2 linked regions of the Oryzias latipes genome follow. The protein of the gene in region 1 interacts with the protein of each later gene in a biochemical or structural test. Links are inferred from orthologs where the notes say so. Each region holds a gene or a part of one and is shown in the gene's direction. Other genes may lie near its edges. The genes, in order: zbtb16 and proheparin-binding EGF-like growth factor.

Region 1 (4,326 bases):
GTTGCACATATTGACCCCTCAATTCTCAATCAAACCTGTAGATTAGATTTCAAGAGGTCTATGAGGCGTCTTGGCGTGAATTATTATTAATATTATAAATATGAAACTTTCCTGTGGAAGTTTGGGAGAATGTTCTTCATATTAATGAGCAGATCAAGAGGAAAAAGCCAAATGAGCTGCCAAATCTTGTAATTGGTCATAGAACTGGATAAATGAGGCCATCAATGGGCTCAGGCAGAATGTGGGTCAGTGGATGGATTTAACTCTTTCTACTCTGTGCCCTCTTTTTTTATTTCCATAAAATAAATGAAATAAATCTGTGTTTTGTTGGTCATCTTAGGTGCATGCTGGTGACCGGATCTTAATTTAACCAGGCTTTCATTATGGGTCAAACAGGTTTCAGGAATGAGGTGGAGCAACATGTTGCCCTGTTAGCTTGAATTATAAAATGTACCCACAGACACCCATTCATTCAGGATTTTCAACATTTGCAAGCACAGGCGCTCTCTGGGGCCGTGTTGTGGGTTTTTGCCTCATCTTGCTGTCTTTTTCGCCCATTTTTTGGCCACTGCTCTCCTGCTCCTGTCTGTGATGAGAATACTGAGTAAGATGCTATTTGAGGCTGCTGACGGTCTTTGTGAACCCAGACGCAGTGAGAGCCTACAATTCAGCCTTGTTTAACTGGTGTATATCCCCATCAGATAAGCAAATGAAGACATCTCTTTAACATAACATATGCTGGACCTATTGGTATGCAGGATGAGCCTGTTGGACAGCTAACAAATTGTCTCTCTTCAGAAAATCCAATCAGTGCCGTCTGCTAATATAAGAACGCCACTAAGTATTCTTCCCCATTCATGTGTTTGTAATTGAAGCCTGCAGAAGTCTGATATTAAACACTTTTTTAGAAGAAATGTTCCTCTTTAAAGACGCACTCTGATGAAAATTGTGTTTTTCTTGTCATATTTTTCTGATGATGGACATGTATAAAGAAAATTAAGCTCAAAATTGCATTTCTTAGTATTTATTTATCCAAATTGTTGTGAATCTGGAGCAGACAATAAATGCAGTTTGAAAAAGAGCTTACCGGTATTTGTTATATAGAAAATACGCCGAGCCACAAGCTCCCTGTTCCGCTCCACTCTGATGCATCCACTTGCAGATGCATCCACTAGATGTACGTCTAGCTCCGAGCTGGCACCGGGCTCAAAAGTGTACAGCCATGTAGCTCCTATGTTAATCAGTGTATTTGTTGCTCAGGTAATGGTAGGTTGGGGTTTTGAGGGGTAGTAAGCTAGCGGGAGAGCATGTTGTGACACAGATGAGTGACAGGAAGTGGGGGTTGGGTTGCTCCATGCCAAAATTTCTAATGAAGAGGTGAATTTCTAATAAAATACAGCCGCTTTGCAGAAACTGTCCTAGACAACAACATAAATCAAATCAAACCATTTTTTTATATAGCACTTTTTAAATATAACACAACACAAAGTGCTTCACACAATTTTTTTATACATATATAAAAACAAGCAGAATATTGAAATAAAGGACAATATACATTTTTGGAATTGTAAATAAAAAAATGTTTCCACCGTTGACATTTCTCTTTTTTTTTCCATCCAGGTTTGACTTTGTTTACAAAAACAGCTAAAATCTCTGCTGAGCGGGGAAAGCGAGCCTCATGAGTCGGCCTGGCAGGTTACATCAATATCATGGATTTAACTAAAATGGGTATGATCCAGCTCCAGAACCCCAACCATCCCACTGCCCTGCTGCAGAAGGCCAACCAGATGCGTTTGGCTGGGACTCTGTGCGATGTGGTCATCATGGTCGACAGCCAGGAGTTTCACGCTCACCGGACTGTGCTTGCCTGCACCAGCAAAATGTTTGAGATCCTCTTCCACCGCAGCAGCCAGCATTATACCCTGGACTTTCTTTCACCAAAGACTTTTCAGCAGATTTTGGAGTATGCTTACACTGCCACTCTTCAAGCCAAGGTGGAGGACTTGGATGACCTTCTGTATGCAGCCGAGATCCTGGAGATTGAATACTTGGAGGAGCAATGCCTCAAGATCCTGGAAACCATCCAGTCCTCAGATGAGAATGATGTGGATGTCAACGCTAATGATGGGAGCACAGAAGACGATGAGGAGCGCAAAGGCCAAAATGGAGCGAAGAACTCCAAAAAGCATTCCCTGGAGACTCCCAACCTGTCAGGAGCTCAGCAAGCCTCCAACATGCCTGGCATGGTTGACCAGAGTCCCTCTGTCTCCACCTCCTACAGTGTTTCCAACCTGAGTCCCACCAAAGCCGCTGTGGACAGTCTGATGAGCATCGGCCAGTCTCTGCTCCAGCAGGGCTTTGGTGGTGAGCAACCCGTCCACATTAATTCCCACCACCTGATGACCGACATCAAGACTGAGATGATGCAGGTGGACATGAGTGGCAATGGACATGACAGTCCTCAGAATATGGAGTCCAGCGTCTCGAGCAACGGAGAGCGAAGCGGAGAGGACAGGAACCGAGATGGTCCCGGAACGCCAACGAGGAGCAGCGTGATCACCAGCGCTCGAGAACTGCATTATATCCGTGATGACAACATGGGCGACCAGCAAGCCGAAGTCAGCCAGATGGGGCTGGAAGCAATGGCAGGAATGACTGAGAAACACCTGGCCTCACTATATTCGCTTCCTGTCAATCATAAATCCGATGCCATGATGTCCATGCCGGTGTCCATGGCTTCTGGTCTCCCCATGTCCCCTGCCCTGGCGATGTCCATGGACTTCAGTGCGTATGGGGGGCTGCTGCCGCAAAGCTTCATCCAGAGAGAGTTCTTCAGCAAGCTCGGGGAGCTGGCAGTGGGGATGAAACCGGACGGCAGGAACCAGCATGAACGTTGTAATGTTTGCGGCGCAGAGCTACCAGATAATGAAGCCGTGGAGCAGCACAGGTAAGCTTCCTTCCCTCTCCAGTCTGTCTCCTTTGTCTTTGAGTTTATCCCATTTCAAAACTCATATAGGTGCATCTTCTGCATTTTGATTTTAAAATTACACACTTTTACATAATTGACGATTTCAATGGTTTTATAAACATATTGTCACTTTTTAGGCTTAAACTATTTAAAATGGGTGAAGCGGTTTTCTTTTGTTCTACTTGATCGACTTTAACAACAATTGACCCAATCCTTTTATGTTTCTGTTTTATTGCACTTGCATGAGTTCCATTTACAGTCACATAAAGCCCAGTTTTGTGCAGTCGCCAGCTCAGAACCGGAGATTTACTCCTTTAGTAGCTGCCAAGCTTGCCCAGGTGACTGCTGAAGCAATGCTGTCTTAACATTGTCCAAGACCATTAGTCACACCTTCCAAGATGTGGGCGGCAGCTATCACACACACTTACCAATGTGGAGCTCCCTCATCCAGGACCCTGCTCCCCTCCCTTTTCCCATAACTGCACAAGGGGGGCCCTTATTAGCTTGATAATTGGAGTAGACGGTCAGCTCAGGAAATGAGTGCTGAACCCGAGACAAGGAGGTAGTTCTAGGACAGGAGAGTGGCAGCTGCGCAGCACTGTTTCAGTCGCTGCATATAAATAAAGCTTTAAGGCTGAGTAATTTTACAACACATTCAGAAAACCTCCTATTGATCACAGAGCAGCAGTAGTCTCCTACCTTTTTTTACTTTTTCAGACTACGGACCGCTTTATTGTCAGACAATATTTTCACGGACGTATAAGGCCAAAGTGGCCATCCGTTTATTTTATTTGTGTGGGTAAAGTTTATCTTTACCCTCTGTAAAATGTCTGCAGCTGCTTTAAACTTTGTTTGTAAACTAGATTTTATGAAGGAACCATCCACATGTGATTTAGATTTACCTTTAACCCATAACTGTCAAAGTGGAAGCTAAGAATGGAAGCTAACTTCAGCTTTGTCTGACTTTTAAGGTGCAATGAATTTAAAAAACAAAAAGGGAAAGCGGTCACAAAAACTGGTATTATCTAAATACCATAATTATATATTATATATTAATATAATTAATGTGAATACACCATTAAAACAACTTTATTTGCAGCATCCTCAGAAGATTAGACAGCCAGTTAATGAATATTCTGCATTATTATCATGGTCTGTGGGAACAACTGTCACAATGAATCCATATTTGGAGTAAAGACTCCTGGTTTTTGTTTGTTAAATGTAGATTTCTTTTATTTTGAAGTTGAAGGCTCTTCTTCTCGTTTCCTCACTGACTCTTTTCTGTGAGAAGAAACTTTTCAGAAACGTTTGTTTTTTGTCGAATTTGGATGGATTTTAAACACCTGATCGAGCGACTT
Region 2 (4,479 bases), on another chromosome or scaffold:
TTAGCCCTTCAAAAACTCATAAATTAGCATATTTTTCACCATGAAATACATATGTTAGATGTGTGTATTGTATTTTTAAATCCATAGGAACCCATGGTGATATCAACGTAACAAAAGAACATCAGAGATATGTTCTGTGGCTTACTTAGTCTGTGGTATATATTTCACATTGTTTTCATTTAAGGGAAACGCATTTGGGTTCTTATAAATCATTTTTAAAAAATCCCATTTCATTTATTTTTTCTTCTCATCTAGAAATAGAGCAATTTTGTTGGACCTGTACTTGCACTTGTCATAATGAAGGCTTATTATTCACTTTCATTCATTCATTCATTCATTCATTCATTCATTCATTCATTCATTCATTCATTCATTCATTCATTCATTCATTCATTCTTTCATTTAGTGGAGACCCTATAAAAAAACTTTTTGAGGCCTCAGGGATCATCACAGCCAACCAGGTGCCTCTATTAAGCCTCACCCTTTACATCATACTTCTGCTTGTGTCCATCCTCTTCCTCTTGTTTTTTCTAGGCTTCCTTCCTGACACTCAGCCTCCTTTTATCAATGTATTTTACTGTTGGTTGTAGGAAGGTGTCCAAATCCACTCAATACTGTGGGGAACAGCTGGCTATGCACTTGTGTAAACAGACATAAATAAACACACATTAAACCAGTGCACCACAGCTCTACACAGAGAATCTAATTACTCTTTGTTTTTGCTAACTCATCACTTTATATTCTGATATATAGACAGATATGGAAATTTTTTAATTAAGCTTTAAAACTAAATGTAGCAATGTTATAAAACCAATGTCAGTTTAAAGAGATGTGAAGAAAGTTTCTGCTCCTGTCATTTTTTGCAAGCTATTTTATTGTCATTCTTCATCCTTCATCATGACTAAACATAACTGGAGTAACAACTGTGAGATATAAGCCACAATGCCTACTCTGTTTTCTCTCAAGTGAGAAAGAAAAGCACATGCTCTCCGGGTATAATCCAATATACAGTTTTAAATCTTATGACATTCCTGAAAATACACCCCTAGGGATGAGTAGATTCACCCTAAGCTGCCATTCTAAATTTCCTGCACTTCAAATTGTGCAACAAACCTGCTTTGAAGGTGTAATACCTAGTTTAACCAAACAGTGGCGCACATAGATTTTGCATGATTGTTACTAGTTACATGATCATTTTTTTCTAATCAACGTATTTAGTTTCATAGGCGCAGGATTATTTATTTAGATCTAAATAACCAAACATTTGAAAGTATTGCTCAGGTTGTTTGATCGTCTGTTATTCCTGATCTTGCACTCTCATTGGACCTTATTTGGAACTTTGAGACCAAGTTTAATAGATTTTCTGCAGAAATAAGTAAAATCAACCTTTTGTGAATGTAAATATCAGAAGATAATGTTTACCAGGTTGCAGTGTATACTTAGAACTACATAATAACAATGTCAGTAACTAAGATTTCACAGGTTTGAGCCACAAAGGATAAATCCATGCCACTCCTGTCAACTAAGAACAGGAAACCGAGATTATTCACCACGCACTTAGACGGTTAGATCAAAATTTAGTGTAAACAATAAAATGATCCCTCCTCATGATGCCATAATGGACCGCCCTGCTCCTGGATACGCCTACGCCTGCGAGCACATTTATACGCACGGCGTCTGGCACCGGAGTGACCACACAGGCTGTCAATGCAGTCCCGCTCCAACCTCCTCATCCGCGCTGAAGACTCGGGAATAGCCGAAAAACGAACAAAAAAATATCGTAAAAAAAATAAAATAAAACATTAATCAAAAGTTGAGCAGCAGAAGGATTATTCAAAACCTGGACGGAATACTTTTTTGTACTTTTTTATTTGTTTTTCCTAAAACCTTTCCTAACATGAGGACTTTACGCACGGTGCTCCTGCTAGTTTACGCGTTGGGTAAGTGTCATGTAAAAAAGTTGTGTTTGTTGCGCTGCATCATTGTCTGTTTTTATTCGCATGGCTTCCATCCTCTCTTCTTAATATTTGCGTTATAATCCAGCCATAAAAACCTTCAACTTTCTATGAAGTTTTCCCAAACTGCGCGAGTCCTGACTCCTAACAGGGTCGTCTCTGCTCTCTCTATTTTAAACCAGGCTTTATGTAACTAGATACATTTATTTTTAACTCATATTCTTGCCGTGACATTAGGAGAGGCTGTCATGTATTTTGCGCCTGTGTATAAGGCAGTATTTACTAACCACATTCTGACTCACAGGATCTGAGTCCAATTTTAAATTATTAACTAAATATCCCCTTTATCTGAGCATGCGCATTACAAAATAGTCATCTAGTGCAATCAGCAGAAGCCCCAGTATGCCACCTGCTGTATCCTGTGGAGGACATGTTTCAACTTGTCCACAGGGATCCACCCACCTCTTGATGCAATCCAGAGAAATCTTTTTTTTTTCCAGTCTGATCATCTCATTCTGGTGTTTTAACTGTAAACCCCTCTTTTTCCAGCTGTTTGCAAGGTTACCAGCGGTGCAGCTGTTGACCGGCGTGAGAACGACAGGCAGCAGGACACAACTGTCATAAACCTGGACACAACCAGGGACAGGAGGGAGGAGGTGGAGAACTGGGTCCTGAGTGCCACAACAGCAGGAAACCAGGAAGAGGAATATGACGATGAAGCCTACTTTGATTATCTGGAAGAAGATGACGATTCTGGAGACTATGAAATGGACTTGCCAAGAGGTAAGCCTTTATTTGTCATCTCTATATTTTAATGTTAAGAAAAAACAGTTTTGCATTTGTCTTGTCTAATCCACGATTGTTTTCCTCATCTTTGTTCTGATCTTCAGTTGCAATGTCAAGCAAACCCAAGGATCCGTCTTCCATCCTGGAAGCTGAAAGAACCGAGCGCAAGACATGGAAAGGAAAGGGAAAGAAGAAGGGCAAAGGTTTGGGAAGGAAGAGGAATCCCTGCCTGAAGAAATACAAGGATTTCTGCATTCACGGCACCTGCCAGTACCTGAGGGACCTCCGCGCCCCTTCCTGTGTGTAAGTATTGATACTGCGGATTCCCAGACACCAAAACATTGAAGGCTTTTTTTCTTAACGAACTCCTTATCTACTTTGCAGATGTCACCCAAGTTATTCTGGGGAAAGATGTCAGTTTATCACGCTGCCTGTTAAGGTGCCCACGGGGTACAACAGGACTACAGCGTTAGCCGTGGTGGCGGTAGTTCTGTCCTCCCTCTGCCTTTTAATCATCGGTCTTTTATTAATGCTCAGGTGAGTTACAGCAAATCTGTCCCATTTCAAACAAGCAAATGAAAAAACCAACATAAAGTCTGACATTTTCTATTCTTTTCTTGTTGCTATTTTCAGGTTTCACAAGCGGGGCGCGTATGATATAGAGAGTGAGGAGAAGGTCAAATTGGGGTTGACGCCTAATCACTGAAGAGAAAGGTCAGTAGTTGGAAGATTTCCCTAAAAGTTTTAAATCTAGAACTACTTTGTGAAGCAGAAATAAGAGATTTAGCTCAAAATCTCTTTTCTTTTTTTCATTTCAGGCAAAAGTGAAGAACTCTACCTCAAAAAAGAAATGAACTGCAACAGGAGGTCCCCCGGAGGAAACAGGAAAGTCTGTAACAAAAGGGGCAGAAGACGTCTGCCGGACGCTCTGCAAGACAGATGGAAGAGATGGGCGGCTGCAAGTATTCCCAATGGGCTCAGAAGAAGACCGGCCTGTCCGGAACTGGAATACAAGAAAGGCCCTGGAGAAGGACTACAGGTGTTTCAGCATGAAGAATAAAAAAAAAAAAAAAAAAAAAAAAAGAGGAATCCCGGTTAGACTATCTGCTGCCTCCTGGCTGTGTGAACAGAGGAGAAACAAACCTTTTTAAATGGAACTGAAGTTTTTAACAGCCGGATTGACTGAACATTTTTTAATTCAGACATTTGTTTTGGAGCAAGGTCCGTTTTTTTTCTGTGTGTACATTAAAAAATTATATTTATATTTTTAATTTATTTATTTAAGCTAACTGTATTTATGGTGAATTTTTTTTAACCACCTTTAGCTGTTTTTCAATTGTTACTGTTACGTTTCATTTTATATTGGACGATATTTATTTAGGAGAAAAAGGAGAAATGCCACCTTGAACTACTCTGTAGTCTAATTTATGCAATCTGTAAATTTGTCAAAAAGCCTGTTATCAGAAAGCGCTGGGATGAAAAACAATATTTAAATTATAAGAAATTGGTTTTTCAAGAAGTTGTCATTCTAATCTGTAAAAAATTGGGAAAAATGCCAGAAAGCCAACCAGATAGACTCGGTTGTGCTTGGCAACCAGTACAATCACTAGTTTTGTGTTCAAGTTAAAATTTGGGTTGTACACGAGAGAGGGCTGAGCCCTGCTACATCGCTTTCACTCCTTCTTCCTGAAGGCTCTATGTGCTCAAAGGCGCTAAACTGATCATCATACTATCCTGC

The links.
Region 2: the proteins of zbtb16 (region 1) and proheparin-binding EGF-like growth factor form a complex in vitro, tested with the Homo sapiens proteins (2 studies listed by BioGRID). The link is inferred for Oryzias latipes from reciprocal best matches to the Homo sapiens genes ZBTB16 and HBEGF.

Annotation. Positions count from the first base shown.
Region 1 is NC_019872.2:25,466,502-25,470,827, reverse strand, and holds the start of zbtb16 (zinc finger and BTB domain-containing protein 16), read left to right. Parts: upstream 1-1,302; 5' UTR 1,303-1,709; coding exon 1,710-2,947; intron 2,948-4,326. UniProt on the Homo sapiens protein: Acts as a transcriptional repressor. Transcriptional repression may be mediated through recruitment of histone deacetylases to target promoters. May play a role in myeloid maturation and in the development and/or maintenance of other differentiated tissues.
Region 2 is NC_019868.2:19,603,229-19,607,707, forward strand, and holds the start of proheparin-binding EGF-like growth factor, read left to right. Parts: upstream 1-1,671; 5' UTR 1,672-1,897; coding exon 1,898-1,940; intron 1,941-2,504; coding exon 2,505-2,738; intron 2,739-2,845; coding exon 2,846-3,044; intron 3,045-3,125; coding exon 3,126-3,278; intron 3,279-3,374; coding exon 3,375-3,447; 3' UTR 3,448-3,455; intron 3,456-3,559; 3' UTR 3,560-4,479. UniProt on the Homo sapiens protein: Growth factor that mediates its effects via EGFR, ERBB2 and ERBB4. Required for normal cardiac valve formation and normal heart function. Promotes smooth muscle cell proliferation. May be involved in macrophage-mediated cellular proliferation.